4 linked regions of the Coturnix japonica genome follow. The protein of the gene in region 1 interacts with the protein of each later gene in a pairwise test. Links are inferred from orthologs where the notes say so. Each region holds a gene or a part of one and is shown in the gene's direction. Other genes may lie near its edges.

The links.
Region 2: the proteins of CINP (region 1) and ATRIP interact in binary tests that used the Homo sapiens proteins (3 or more experiments, as listed by UniProt). The link is inferred for Coturnix japonica from reciprocal best matches to the Homo sapiens genes CINP and ATRIP.
Region 3: the proteins of CINP (region 1) and CLUAP1 interact in binary tests that used the Homo sapiens proteins (3 or more experiments, as listed by UniProt). The two-hybrid records come from large-scale screens. The link is inferred for Coturnix japonica from reciprocal best matches to the Homo sapiens genes CINP and CLUAP1.
Region 4: the proteins of CINP (region 1) and REL interact in binary tests that used the Homo sapiens proteins (3 or more experiments, as listed by UniProt). The two-hybrid records come from large-scale screens. The link is inferred for Coturnix japonica from reciprocal best matches to the Homo sapiens genes CINP and REL.

Annotation. Positions count from the first base shown.
Region 1 is NC_029520.1:45,118,945-45,123,075, reverse strand, and holds the start of CINP (cyclin-dependent kinase 2-interacting protein), read left to right. Parts: upstream 1-1,326; 5' UTR 1,327-1,444; coding exon 1,445-1,451; intron 1,452-1,584; coding exon 1,585-1,753; intron 1,754-2,575; coding exon 2,576-2,702; intron 2,703-3,652; coding exon 3,653-3,782; intron 3,783-4,131. Other genes in the region: TECPR2 (tectonin beta-propeller repeat-containing protein 2), read right to left, coding at 1,069-1,140. UniProt on the Homo sapiens protein: Component of the DNA replication complex, which interacts with two kinases, CDK2 and CDC7, thereby providing a functional and physical link between CDK2 and CDC7 during firing of the origins of replication.
Region 2 is NC_029527.1:2,064,606-2,068,121, reverse strand, and holds part of ATRIP (ATR-interacting protein), read left to right. Parts: intron 1-612; coding exon 613-708; intron 709-1,215; coding exon 1,216-1,381; intron 1,382-2,092; coding exon 2,093-2,812; intron 2,813-3,511; coding exon 3,512-3,516. UniProt on the Homo sapiens protein: Required for checkpoint signaling after DNA damage. Required for ATR expression, possibly by stabilizing the protein.
Region 3 is NC_029529.1:11,274,206-11,277,721, reverse strand, and holds part of CLUAP1 (clusterin-associated protein 1), read left to right. Parts: intron 1-407; coding exon 408-492; intron 493-2,566; coding exon 2,567-2,746; intron 2,747-3,516. UniProt on the Homo sapiens protein: Required for cilia biogenesis. Appears to function within the multiple intraflagellar transport complex B (IFT-B). Key regulator of hedgehog signaling.
Region 4 is NC_029518.1:5,501,005-5,504,520, reverse strand, and holds part of REL (proto-oncogene c-Rel), read left to right. Parts: intron 1-1,019; coding exon 1,020-1,168; intron 1,169-3,516. UniProt on the Homo sapiens protein: Proto-oncogene that may play a role in differentiation and lymphopoiesis.

The DNA of each region.
Region 1 (4,131 bases):
ATTTTCTACCTTCTATCCATACAGCCAACTAAACACCAACAACACCTACAGCTGAAGTCTCCTGCTTGCTCCCCTATCCACACTGCTTTGCTGGTTATGCAATTTTAATGCCTCCTGCTTGACTGTTATTCCTAACTGAAACCCAAACTTGGTGCAGAGTCCCCCCCACACAAAACTTCCTCTAACATAAACTGCCATAAACTCCCCAGTTACTGCTTCATGAGCTCCGTGTTTGTTTCTTTAACTCCTCTTTTCAGCTGATATCAGTCCCTCACCATACTAAGATGCTCTGGCACTTTGTGTAAACGCAATCATTTTCCTGCACGGTCTTCAATTTCTAATTACACTCACACATCACATATAGTCTTCTATTTATCATTAGGACCCTATTTAATCTTTGTTAACCAAAGGCGAGCAGAGGGCTGTCCCTGCAGACAGGTGTCAGCAGCCACTTGGAACAAGCACTAAGGATTGCAGGCAACACCTGATGCTGCCCATGGAACACCAGATCAGAGTCCTCCCTTTACAACTCGCAGACAGCACTTAGGAATCGTGTTAAATGAAGTATTTGGAAAGCAGAGCTGTTGCTGCAGAGCTGAACTCCTTGCAGAGGGCTCAGCACAGGGACGGCCAATGTGGGGGATAATCCTGTGCTCAGACAGACGCTCCGTTGGCTCCAGCTCCAGCGTATGTCACAGACTCAGCACAAGAGGCCAAAGCTGTCGCTGCTTTTCTTACCCAGGCATCCTCCCTGCACAGCTCTGTTGTTCAGCTCTTCCATGGGAATAAATCCTTACGTTCAGGCCCTTTGGAGAGGGACAAATTCTGACCTCGGCCACATCCTGCCAGCTACAAACGCTTTTTATTTCCCAACTCTTCTCACGTTTTCAGGTAGTTACCCCCAAATTAACGCACGAGCGGCTCCGAGCTACCCACGAAACGCTGCATTTTGGGCGTCTTTTCACAAAGCAGAGGGTAAAAACAAACAAACAAGAAAGAATTCCGACAGGGACTGCGGAAAGGCCGACCCAGGCTGCAGCCCACACACACACAGGTGCGAACTTTCACCTCCGAGCCCCGAGTTCCCTCAGCCCGGCATAGCGCCCACCGCATCCTCCTCCCCTGGAAACCAGCTTCCATCCGGCGCTCCTCCGCGTTCCTCCCCACAAGCAGCAGCAGGAGGCGGAGAAGCTTTCCCGGCCGCACCATCGCTGTCGGCCGCTCCACCGCGGCTACAGACCGCCGAGGACGGAGGCTGCACGGAGACGCGGCAGCTCTTACCGCGTCAAGAGCCGAGGGCGGTCATGGCTGCCGACGGACGGGAGAGAGAGGACGCAACAACACCCGGACCCCCACGCACCGGCGGCTGCCCCGCTGCCTCAGCGGCTCGGCGGGGCCGGGCCTGGGCGGGGCCGGACGTGAGCGCACTTCCGCGGGCGCCGCTATGGCGGGTGAGTGAGGAGCGGGCCGGTGCTGTAGGCAACGCCTGCATGGAGCCGGAGCGGGATGGCCGAGCCTTTATCTCAGCCACAATGACTTGTTTCTCTATGTTTTCACTGAACTTGCTGTTTTTGTCGTACATAGCAGGAAGTCTTGCTGATGGTACTCCGAGAAGACCTGTCCTATCTGCCAGTGCAAGAAAAATTAAAGATAATGCAGCAGACTGGCATAACTTGATGATGAAATGGGAGAGACTGAATGATAATGGGTTTACTACTGCAAACAAAATAGTCAACATGAAGATCAGTGAGCAGTAAGTACGCTAATAACATATACAAGTGAAGACAGCATGAGGATTGCCTTTCTGAGGAATTACTCTGTTCTCTTCACAATAACGATTTTTTGGAGTTTTATGTGGACAGAAGAAGCTATAGCAGTGATGATTTGGGAAAAAAAAAACAAAAACAACAAAACAAACCCAAAACAATAAAATAATTGTGGTAGAATAGTGTTATCATGCTGTGAAGAAAAACCTTACAACAGGCAGGGTTTTGAGAAGTAGCTTCTGAAGAGTCTGTCAGGTGAACAGAGTTTGTTTGACAGTTCTATCACATAAGGCTCGGGAATATTTTGCTGTGGAGGTGTCAGATGTTGCTTTCTCTCTCTAGCACCTCCCTCTTCTCTGTCAATGTTTACAGGAATGAAAGGCAAGAAGTGGGAGAATCAGCAAGACAAGACACATGCCTGCTCAGTAGCTGCTCTGGTTCATAGTTAAATCTTAGATCAAACTGACAGTGAAAGTGGCTGTGGGGAGGCATCAGGCCTGGCTGGGCCGGTTGAAGCCTGGCATACATTCCCCCTTGTCAGGGACAACGTAAAGTGGGAAAAGGTTTTATCTTAACGTTTGTGAGTGTTTTGGGTTTTTTATGAGCACAGACTGTAACATAGAGACACCCCACGTTCTTCTGAAGGTTACCAGCCTTTATTGCTGATATGGTTAGCTGCGTTCCTTTCTGGTTTTATGTAGGAATTCTCATGAGCAGCCTCTGAGAGATTCTGTGGGATCAGATCACACGGACTTTAAGTCTGCACAGCTTGAGTAAACCTGTATGCCTGCCTTATGTTTCTGTTTTAGATTTCAAGATAACAAACTGGAGATAACCTGTGATAACAGTACCACAGAATCTGAAAAGCCGTCTCCAAAGTACAACAAAGAACTGGACAATTGCTGCACAGAATTACTGGAGACCTTAAAAAAAATGGTAACATTCCTTTTTCAGTCCTAGAAGCAATATCAAGAGTTTTCAAGTACAACATAAGAACATGATGTTAAGGATCTGTTGCAAGCTTAAAATCAGGGATGTTCATTCATACTTCATTGCCTTTAGACCTTTATGATGTAAATCCAGCATGCTCCATTTGTTTGCTTTCTTGATAGGTTTGAAAGCTGTTTATATATATCTAGCTTCTGCTCATAATTCTACTCTCCACTTCTAATGTTACTTATAATGTGATCCTCTGAAAACAAGTCATATAATAATCCATTCTAAAAACGCACTCACTGATGTTTGTTTTCTTATCCCAAATATCCCCTGTTTAGAACAAAGTAAACACCAACTTAAAGTACAGTAATGCTTTATCTGCCATGATATCCATTGCAGCTTTGCTCAGCCCTCATGCAATTACACTTCCAGTCTGCCTACTTCTACTTTCTGTGCAGAGCTCATACTTTCTATGAGGAGCAGAGAAAGATAATTATTCTGCCCACTTTTCTGGATAAATTGTCAGGAATTAATGTCACATTTCAGCGACATTAGACTTTTACAGCCTTTAGCTGTTTCGGAGGATCATTAAAAAGATAATAGATAGGATTTTATACAGACAGGCTACCAGACCAGTATTTAGAATAAGCAGGAGCACTTAGATTTTCCTCAGATTGTGTTCTGTGGGAAAAAGCAAGAGTTATTTGGGTGCTTCCCTTTTTATGCAAAATCAGAATCAGTAATTATCTGCAGCACCTGAAATTTTAGGGTAAATCATTAATTCTCTATATAAGTTCCAGTTTTGAGTCCTATCTGGAGTTAAAAAAAAAAGTGAATTAGAAATGCTAAGACTAACTAAAGTCTTCAGAAAGTGTTTAAAAAATGCTGAAGACTATCATGGCTTAACATTCCCGAGGTACTCATTAGCTTTATGTGTTCATTGTTTCCAGACAAAAATACAGCTGAAAATGGAAAAGCTCTCTTCAACTACCAAAGGAGTCTGTGACTTGGAAGAGTACCACCATGGAGCTGGGGGTTGTACAGCACCCCTGTTTCACTCATGGCCCACAGTGTACTTCTGTAAGTAAATTATTGATCATTTTAGATAAATGCACTTTGTCGTTGAAGTCATCCAACTTAGGACTTTCATATCTGTTTTATATCTGTTTATCCTCCCTTAGGAAGAGAAAGTGTGTGAATCAGTCTTCTTTATAACTGACTGATCAATAAACACACGGGTGCATTACTTGGTTTAGGATTACTGCTGATGACTGCTTGTATGAATTGACAAGCATTGTCTGGCATGCAACAGCCAGACAGTAGCTTAGAACCGAGCTTGTCAGCAGTTTCCAATGCCCAAGCTGCAACAGCCACATCTTTTGTAGAGACAGACAATTTTGCAGTTTGGTAATGTTAAGCTGTTGGCTAC
Region 2 (3,516 bases), on another chromosome or scaffold:
GTCAGCTAATGCGTTTTTTATACTCCTGAGGTTTGGGTTTTGATAACCGTTCTCTGTTTTTGGTATTTTATTTTAAATGGTGCATGTTCAGCCATGTTAAACGAGCAGCTGCAGGGCTTCACTCGTTTCCTCCTTTCTGCGTTGAACGGTAAATCTCATACAACTGTACCTTCAAATTCATTGAGTAAAGCCTGGGAAACATATGTATGCATTTACTGTAATACGAAATAAAAACTGCTTTTTATAGCAGCCAATTACTGTGTTGAGACAGTACATTGCCAGTAGGAAAGAATGGGAGAAATTGGGAGGAGGTGTCCCTGCCTGTAGCAGAGGGTTGGAACTAGATGATCTTAAAGGTCTTCCAACCCAAACCAATGGAACATCTGAGGTGTTTCTGTCGGCTGCAGTATTCTATCAGAAACTGTCTGGGCCACGTGTAACAGCAACCTTAGAAGAGTTCCTGTAGTTACTTTTTCAACTCAATAGTGTTTGACACTGCGTCTGTGTTTGTACCTCACAACAGCTATGGCTAATTGAAGGTGTGTAGATGACAGGTGCAGATGTATAAGCAATTATTTCTCGTATTTGAAACATATTCTCTCTTTGTTTTAGACAGTAAGATGCCCCATCCTGAGTTCTTAGCCATGAAGCAAGAAGCAATGGGAAAAAATGGTTCCTGCAATTCTGTACGCCAACAAAACATTCAAGGTAATGTATTTCTGGTAATACAGAAATGGATCAAGATGTAGATCGAGAGGCATCTTTCTACCAGGCTTGGCTGTATTAAGATACTGTGCTGTCTGTTGTGAGGAGAGCAGGGAAAATGTCTATTTATTGTTTCTAAAAGTGAAAAGAGCACATCAGCACTTAGTGTTCAACACGTTATTTCCAGTTCAGAATTGTATCACATGATTTTAATGTCCAGACTGGAACATGGATGTCAAGGCACCAGGATGACTGTGTTTTAATAATCACTTGGATTGAGATGGCTTGCTTATAAAGGGACTGTAGTTGAGATCTCTCTAAATATACCTTGATTCACATTTAAATTGTGTTCTGTGAGGTTTTACGAAGCGATGCATTTCAGATATTATTTTCTTCCTGTATTCTGTCTCGTAAGAGAAAGGAAAATTGATGATGGGGAAAAAATGATTTTTGAGGTTGAGATCACTATTGGTGAGGTAAATCTATTGAAATACTTTGCTGTTGTTGCAGGGGATGGAAAAGCCACTTCAAAGACAATCTCTCCAGGTTCTGCCTTACTGAGCGCCCTGCTGAAGCAGCCCCTTGTCTCTGGGTCCCTGCTGGGACTTTGCCATCTTCTCAGCAGCAACGCTGAGGCTCTGCCAGGAGCTGTGCTGCAGCCCGACCTTGTGGAGACGTAAGGACTGTGTTGAAATGCAACTGATGTGTTCCCAGTATTGTGGCATACTCTGAGAAAGGCGTTCTGTGCAGGACACCTCACTGCGTGTGTTCAGTGCCTTTTGGCTGAGGCCATTTGAGGCAAAACTCGGAACATCCTTCTGCATTTTGGTCATCCATCTTTGGTTATTGTAGGTACTGAACACAGGAGAAACACTAAAATGGAAAGCAGGTTAATTACGTATTAGGGGAAGGCACAGAAATTAGGAAAACTTAGAAGTGACTATGAACTGCTGCCCTTTTTAAGGATATATTTGTGTATATATATAACCTAAATTCTAAATGAGTGCTGTCCTTAAATATGAAATCAGATATAAAATTAACTGTTTGAATGTGGCCTCAAAGATCATGTTTGTTCATCAGATCCTTGTTGTTATTTGTTTGATGTCTGCTTTGTAGAGAGTCCTCTGCTTTGTATTTAACATTTCCTTAGGCTTGTAGGCTGACTAACAGTTGCTGAATTCAGTAGGATAGTTTAGAGAGAAATTAGTTGCTCATGGAACCCAGGTTATACACTGTATTTTAAGTGAGGGTGAACACCATGGTAACTTAGAACTATTTTCCTGCACCTGTTGGCTTAGGGGAACTTCTAATAAAGGTTAACTACACTTTCAACTATATTCTCTACCTTTTCTTTCACTGAGGTATTTTCCTCCTTTTGTTTGGGTAGGCAGTCCACGCAGATGCCTGGCACCAGGACAGCTCAGGAAGAAGTTGCTCCTCCCGTGTCCCTGCAGGAAGCTCAGAAACTTGCACTAACAGGACTGAACTTAATCGCTATGGATGAAGAGCCATATGAAGGGAGCCCAGCAGGAAGTGGGAGTGAGGTTTTGTATTTGAAACGCTGCAAGATCCGAGGAGCTGTGCATCTCTTGCCCTTGGTGGAACACCACATCGGTGCATACTGTCAAGCGGTACAATCAGCAGACAAGTCAGTAAATGCTTCTTGTGGAAACCACTCAGTTGTTTCTTCCAGAACCAGCCCAAGTAATGTATCGAGGAAGGAGGACTTCAGGTTGTCTCTTGAAGAAACAACAGTTCTGTCACTAGGTATTCTTTATTATTTGGCATTTTATAGCTGGGACGTTGTCCACATATTGCTGTCTAACGAGGTGGAAAAAAGTTCTGCTGTTGGAGAAGAACAGATTTCCAAGGCGGACAAAAAAGCACCGTGTGATAATAAAGAAGATGACAGGACACAAGGAGGGCTGCCTGACGCTCCACAAGATGCTGCTAGTGACGTTCAAGCACAACATTCTTTGTTCAAAAAGCTGCTTCAGGTTTTAGCTTTCTCTGCCACAGGGGGCTCCCAGACGGGCAGCATCCTGCAGCAAAGCCTGAAAGTTCTGGTAAAGCTAGCTGAAAACTCAACGATGGACTTGCTACTAAAGTAAGTCAGTAATAGCTTTACAGTGACTTCAGGCTCTTAGTTGTGTAGCAGTTTTCACTGTTGAAAATAATTTGTGCAGGTGGCAGTAGAAGGTGTGATACCTATGGGAGAATGTCGTGTTTCTCAGCTCACCTTTGGGATGCAGTGAAGGATCTCACCACTGCCTTGGCTGCTAATGAATGTGATAATTACCCCAGCTCAATAGTAAGATCTGCTTATCATGCACTTACGTGAAGCAGATGCTGCTGGCTCCTTGCTTGGCTGTCATTTGGAAGTGAGAAAGCTTCTTCAGTCACGTGGTTGATTGGTTTTTGTTATTTGAATTGCTGGGAGATGCATAAGGAATGAAAGCACAAGGCTTCCTGGTTTACTTACTTATTCTATTTCTAATGTATGTTATAATGTTTATAATTCTCATATTCTATTTATAAGTACATGATATATAAAGTTTGTTTATTCTTCTGTATGAAATGCCACTCCTGAAAGTGTGATCTTTGCTCACTAGCAACTAATGCACGGGACCGACGTATGAACTGTGCAGGCTGCCTGCAAAACATAACAGTGGGTATTTTTCAGCGTACTTTATTTCTGGTGTGTAAGCGGAGCTTGTGTTTCGAATGGCTTGACAAGATGTGTGTTATGAAGCAGTGAATTACTTTCAGTTGCTTCTCATTTCTAACTGGGGTTTCTCTTTGGAAGTTTTC
Region 3 (3,516 bases), on another chromosome or scaffold:
GCTTTTAGTTGCAAACATGATTTGAAAGAGATTGGAGTTAAGTTTGGGTTCTGTAAGCTCTTTGTGATTTAAGTAGGAAGTTATTAAGTGTTTCATGGACTTGATTTTGCCAACTCCGTTTTGATCCTGATCAAAAAACCCTGATTGAAAATGTATGTGGTGCTCCAAAGGACCAATTCCTTCTGGAGAAACATCTCAGACTTTACAGCTTTTGCATTTTGGGCACAGCCCCAGTGTGGCACTGTGGGGCCTTGGCAGTCCCAGCTGCACTAGGAGCTGAAGAGCTGTTTTCCAGTCTCATACGTGTTGGTTTTTTTTCCATTTCTTTCTGACTTTGCCTCTCAAGTGAAGTGTCTCCTTAACCCTGCACGTGTATTTCTCATCCAAATCTATGTGTGCTTCCACAGGTATGAGCCTCAGTCTGACATTCCCTCTGATGTTGAGACGGAACAGGACCGGGTTTTCTTCATTAAGGCTGTGGCTCAGTTCATGGTACGTCTGCTTATTTCACACTGAAATGCTTGTTCCATGTTAGCTTGAATGATTTCCCTCTTAATCCCTCATAGTTTCCTTGTGAGGGGTGGCTGAGCTGTATTGTATTCTTGTGATGTATGTCACACTGCAGGCAGCATTGTTTTCTCTCCAAAGTAATTGCGTTCAGGTTGTAAAACTGACCAACGTATTCTGCTCAGGATTAAAAAGAAAAAGAAAAAAATAATAAGAAGATGAAAAGGAAGGGAGAGGGAACTTTATTTTAGAACTTACTAATAGTAAAGCTTCAGTTATTGCAGTGATAGAGGTGATAAAACTCCATCCCTAATCCCGTGTGTGGTTTCATTTAAGTCGTAGGAGTAGGTAGAGTAGGAATATTCCTACTTGATTCAAAGGCTGTTTGGGGCTTGGTGCTCTCTTAGGTTTGTATTTGCATGGCTCCAAAACAAGGCCCTGTGGGGTCCTGCTGTAGTAGTGACCCTAAGCTTGCACAGAGCAGGCTGTGTTCTTACTGAGATCTTGTGCTGTTGCATCTGGCTTTATAAAATTGGGAACTACACATCTAATGCTAAAACAGTATTCATCTTTATCACTTTATACTTTGAGTGGAAGGAAAAGATGAGAGTGAAAGATATAGTGAATCTATTTAAAATAGATGCAGAGGAGATTCTTGCTTATTTACAGATGACTTTGGATGCCAGATTTAGTTGTATGCTTCAGTGGTTATAAACTCTGATGGATGTTTTCATTATGATATTGAATCATACTTCAGCATTCTGCTTTGCGTGCCTTCTCACTTATTCAATTCAGGCATACTTTTCTCAGAGCAAATCTTTTACCACCACTTAGAGTTGCTGTAAGGTAGGTGGCTGCACCTCAGGCTTTCCAGATGTGAGGTTACCAGCCTGAACAAGCAGCGCCATTATGCCAATCTGGGAAACACGTGTAGTTGTATGTGGCTTTTGCCTCTTTTTTTCCTAAATTGTCTTTGAGTGAAATACATTTTTTTTTCTTTTTGCCTGGCATTGATTTTTCTCTCTTGAGGGTGAATGGAGCTGCAATTGGAATTCCTGCCTTTAACCACATCCTTCGTGGTGTGTTGTGTTGGTTTTCTTTGTGTAGTGGATGTTTAACATTTAATGACATACTTCTCTTGAAATTTTATTCCTGCTGTTTCCATGATTCAGGTTTTTTTTTAGTTCCTTTCTTACTGAAAGAGAGGGAAAGAGGACGTGTTTGGCTTTCCATCTTGAATGTTGGTTCAGCTGAGGTCGTGGCAGACAACATTTTCAAAAGCGATTAAGGGTTTTTGTACTGCAAGTCTCATAGTGGCCCTGATCAGAGTGTACAACATCCATAACCTGTTCTGGAGGCTCCAGGGCCTCCTTTCAGCTCTGTGGTTTGCATGAACTAGGTTCAGCCACCTGGCAGGGGATGCGAGAACTACACTCATGTCCATTCTGTGACAAATGTGTGGTTTTGATGATGCTTGCTTTTCTCCTTTGCTATTTTGAAGTATAAAAAGAAGATATTGTAATTTCTAATGTGTTTTTTCCTTTCAGAGATGGAAGGCAAGAGGATGAAGTCAGTAATATTATAACAGGGAATAATTTGAGAAACAATAAAATACTCTGAAGCTACTGCTGGAGGAGAAGGCAGATAAATTAGGATAATTGATCTTATTCTTGTAACTCATTAAGGGTGAAATTTACTTCTCTGCAGCATCATCACAAGACCTGGGCAGCACTTACATTCCACTTAAACTTAATTTGAATTTAAGTGGTGCACAGGGGTTTTGCTGATCTTCACATGGGGAAGAATTAATGAATAGTTTGAGTTTTTTCATTCTGGCAATTATCTGCAAATGTTCTGACATACAGAAAGTACACGCATCTCAGGAAGGTTTCTTTAGAAATGACAGCAATGTGGTTAAGCAAATCTCTTTCCAAACAGGAAGTTTTATCTGTTTAAAGCAGACAGCAGCGCCTCCAGTGTGAGCTTCTGAGTGAAGTAAGAAGGGGTGGATGGAGATTTTGTTGTTTTTTGTGGCATGATGGTTTCTTTCTTTGCAAAGGCTACCAAGGCCCACATAAAGCTCAACACCAAGAAGCTTTACCAGGCAGATGGCTACGCGGTGAGAGAACTGCTGAAAGTCACCTCTGTGCTTTACAGCGCAATGAATACGGGGGGAATGGAGCACACAGACATCATTGAGGAAGACAGCAGCAAATTCAAGTTTGATCTTGGTTCAAAAGTAAGGAAAACTTTTACTTCTGTTGTGGGCGAGAGTGTTGTGTGAGCCTGTGAAAAACAAATGCATCTTCTGAGACTTAAGGAGAGAACGTTCTCACAAGGAAGTTGGTACGGCTTCATCTTGGTTGAGGTTACATAGTACAAGGAAATAGTGGCACCAAATTGGTTATAATTATTTTGAAATGCTGTTAAAATTGTAGGGATGTTGGAGTATGCGAGGATAAAGGTGATTTTTTATCTACTAACATCACTGCAACATACAAGCTTCAGAAATACTGACAGAACATTGGATTTTGGGCCAGTTTGCATTGAGCTAAAAGAGAATATTCATATTATCCAAACAGACATCAAAGCCTTCCAAGCCTTTAAATGCCTTCCTGGGATACTAAAGAAAGCTGTGCTTTGTGCAATAAGAGTTCTTGTTGCTGCTTTTTGTTACTTTTAGCACCTTTTCTATATCCTGATATAACATTTGATTACTTTGTAGCAATGCTCTCCTGTGTCTGCCTATTTGGCAGTAATACTGCTGTTCTTGAAGATGGCAGAACCACAATTATTCCTTTTTATGAGGAAAGCACTTCAGAGAAATCATGAGAAAAACCACTTCTAGATGATCCATGCTCAGTTCTTACACAGTGTCCTGGCTGCATACCTTTTGGTGTATGTACTTCTGCATATGAAAGAGATGTTTCTGTCTGCCATGGGTAGCACATGAACAAACAAGTGGCTCAGTCAGCTTTGATCTGAAGTGCCTGGGATCTCACCAGGCAG
Region 4 (3,516 bases), on another chromosome or scaffold:
CTCCCTGGAGCCTGTACGAGGCTTTGGTGTTGATTTGCTGCTAGGGGTCTTCACATTTAAGGGGCTAGGTATATAATGAGGGAGAAATAATGCAGTATTTAAGAAGCTGAAAGAGCGGTTGGAGTTTTATTTAAGGGTAAGTAGTGTGTATGAATACTGACAGCTGGATTGGAAACTGAAGAAACTGAGAGATGATGGAAGTTAGAGCATAAGTCAAGTGAAAGGTTGAGGTGCTGATTGAGAAGCGTGTGATGGATCCATGGAGTATCTTGGAAGAGGTAAGAAAGGGCTGAAGGAAGAAGAACAGTTACAGGATGAAGGAAGTGGAGGTGGAGACCACACCTTTGTACAACCTGTGCTGGTGCAAGCCTTGCAAGCGTTTTCAAGTTGTTATACTTCAAACATCTTAGGTCAAACTGTTTTTTAGACTCCCACTCAAACCTTGCTGGCTTCACTGATAGTTGTCAGTATGAAGGAAGACTTGAGTGCCTGAGAGATGTGCACAGAGCCTGACTTCTTTGAAGGCGCTAGTGGGGCTGGAGAACGCAGTGCCCCTCTTACTGAATGTGAAACTGGGTACTCATCTTCAGATTAAAGAGAAAGGCTTGGCAGGGGCTTATGTCATGCTGTATTTTATGAGATCCTCACTGCCTCCTTTGTGTTCCATTCACAGGGATTATCCCTGAGGTTCTAGGAGCTTTTTCCTAAACATCTTTGGAGCTGGAACGCTCTTTAAATAAACATTTGTGTACAGTTGCCTAGGTAGAATTTTGCATCTCACGTTGTAACACTTGGTGTGAAATACGTCCTCTTTTGGTCTTACAACATTACAAGCTGTTTTAATTTCCAATGAAGAACTGAAATGGTCTTGGCTTTTCTTTTATGAGGCAATATTACAATTCCTTACTTGTGGTGTTTCTTCCGTACAGTATTTTAGGATTAAATGTATTTTCTGTTATGTGCTTGGACTTTGCTAGTCCTGATATCTGAAGTTGAGAAAATCTCTCTTATTCTTGTAGATTCTGAACTATTTTGGAAAAGTCAAAATTAGAACTACATTGGTAACGAAGAATGAACCCTACAAGCCACACCCTCATGATCTAGTCGGAAAAGACTGCAGAGATGGCTACTATGAAGCAGAGTTTGGGCCCGAACGGCGAGTCCTGTCGTAAGTAGTGGTGGTGTTCAGCAATTTGATTAATCGTGCAAGCGATATTCTGATCTTATGTCTAAAATTAAGAGGGCAGTTAGTAAGCTTCAGCAAAGGCAGCATACTAATCCATCTGGGAGATAAGTCCAAAGGTTTCCTTGAGCTAGTTCCTTTTTCAGTGTTTCACACACTCCTTTTCTGTTCTGCTCTTCTCCTGTCTTCACTCTCCATATGTCAGTCTCCATATGTCAGTCTCCATTTCCTTTCTTCCACTTGCTTCTTTAGTCCTGTTCATTAGCACTTCTTGAGCTTGATGATCTCTCCTACATTCAGTGTACGAAAATAATGACTAATAGGATTGTTAATGACAACACTCAAATTAATGCTTCCTGAGACTCACGTAATTCACGTCTTTCACAGAAACTGTATTTGGACTTTGTGGAAACGGGAGGAGAAATTTTACACTGAATATCATGTTGTTGAGATGATGTTGATGATTGTCACCTGTTTAGAAATGTGTTGGCGATTGTCACTGCTGTTTCTGTTTGCTAAGTGGGTTTTCTTGGTGGGTTATTTTTTTCTGGTGGTGTCTTTTTCTTTTCAGTGAAAATACAGTTTCTACTCAGCCTCGCTGTGTAGAACAAGTATGCCGGGGAATGACCTATTCATGGAAGTAGTAAAGAGGAATTAAGGCGTTGTATAAAACATGTTTCTCAGTGCTGTTCAGGAGGATATTAGGATTTTGTATTTATTACTTATTACTTTGTATTTATGTGGGTTTAGTCAGTAGAATAGTATTAAAGGAGAGAACTGAAGACACACAGTTTGTTTAATGATAATAATTGTCTGATGGTGGAATAAACTGTTTTAATAGTGGAGATACTTCTACAGTGTACAGCTCAGGCTCAAGTGATCATGAACGTATAGTAGATACATTCAGCTGACATCTGACACGGGTTTTCTTTTTGCTTGTTTTTAGCATTGTTCTCAACCTTCTCCTAGCTGGTAAATGGTAGTTAATGCTGTTTTCCTATTTATTTTTTTCCACCATAAGAGAAAGATAGAACTGTCTCTTCAGATACTTACCTTGCATTTTGAATATTGTAACATCATCCTCATTGGCCTCCCTGCAAAGAGTTCATCTTGTCTACATGGCCATCATAGGTGTCTTAAACTGTTAGGAGACCTTTCGCCTTCGTCTGACCATTCATTCACTACCTTCCTCCATGCTTTCTCAAATCATGCTTCCTTACCCAGGTTCAAACAGTGCCTGCTGTTCTAGCCCATCCTACTTCGAGTTCTCATCTCAGTGGCTTCTGATCTAAAGCAATAAAGCCTAATTGCTTAACACCTTTTCTGGCTATGTATTATATCTACTGGGGAAAGAAGGACCCTGATGATTGTTTTTCCTCTTGGTACTTTGTTGCGCATTTTAAGCCCTCAGAGATCCTGAATTTTACGAGCTATAGGTTGTAATGCCAGAAGTACTGAGCTGCTTTGCAAATTTGTATTTATTTCATGTCTGTTATATGCACGTATCAAGTCATTTTATTTGACATAGTGCTGTGGTGAGCTTCAGTTCAGCTTGAAAGAGAAGATCCTGATGGGAAGAGGCTCTTTTTGAATTGCTTTTAGCATTTGGTACCCTTCGTTGTTTTTTTTTTTTAAAACAAGTCACTGGTTGCTGTAAGATGAAGGAACAACGTGATCCATAATTGGATCTGGATGTTTCAAGTCATTTTCGTTCTTGTGGCTGGTGAATCAGTCTTCACATTCTCTTTGAGTCTGCGTTAGAGAAGAACATCATACAATACAAGTGAGCAGGTAGTGGTTCTAGCTCTTTACTCTTTCTAGGCATCTCAATCAAAGGAAAAAAAAATCCCAATTATTTTGTGTAACTGGAATTACCCAGATTTTGGGCTGCCTTCTATTTAAGTTCCCTGTGTAATCCTAGTTGAACAAAACCTCCTGTATTGCTTGTTGACTGATGCTCTTTGTGCTGCTGCCTGAACTTGATCAGAGCTCCCTCTGTCCCAAACATCAAAGCAAAAGTATCAGCGTTGGAGCTCAAGTGATTGCCTGCATACTGAGATTTTTACTTCATAGTTCTCGTGCTCTCTACATGGATGATATCATAGTTTTAATGTTTGGTCCTTTTTTTTTTTTTTAAATGTTTTTTGTTCTGGTTTTTTTTCCCCTTTCTTTTTTTTCTCTTCCTATTTCTCCCTCTCTTCTTGTTATCTTGCTTGCTTCCAGTCAGCAAGTGTTTATGTGAAACCCTGCAGGCTTCCTGAGGTCCTTGATTGTTTCTTCTCTGATCCTGTCCTCTGTTTGACAGTTGTTAAATAGACACTTGCACTGCTGCA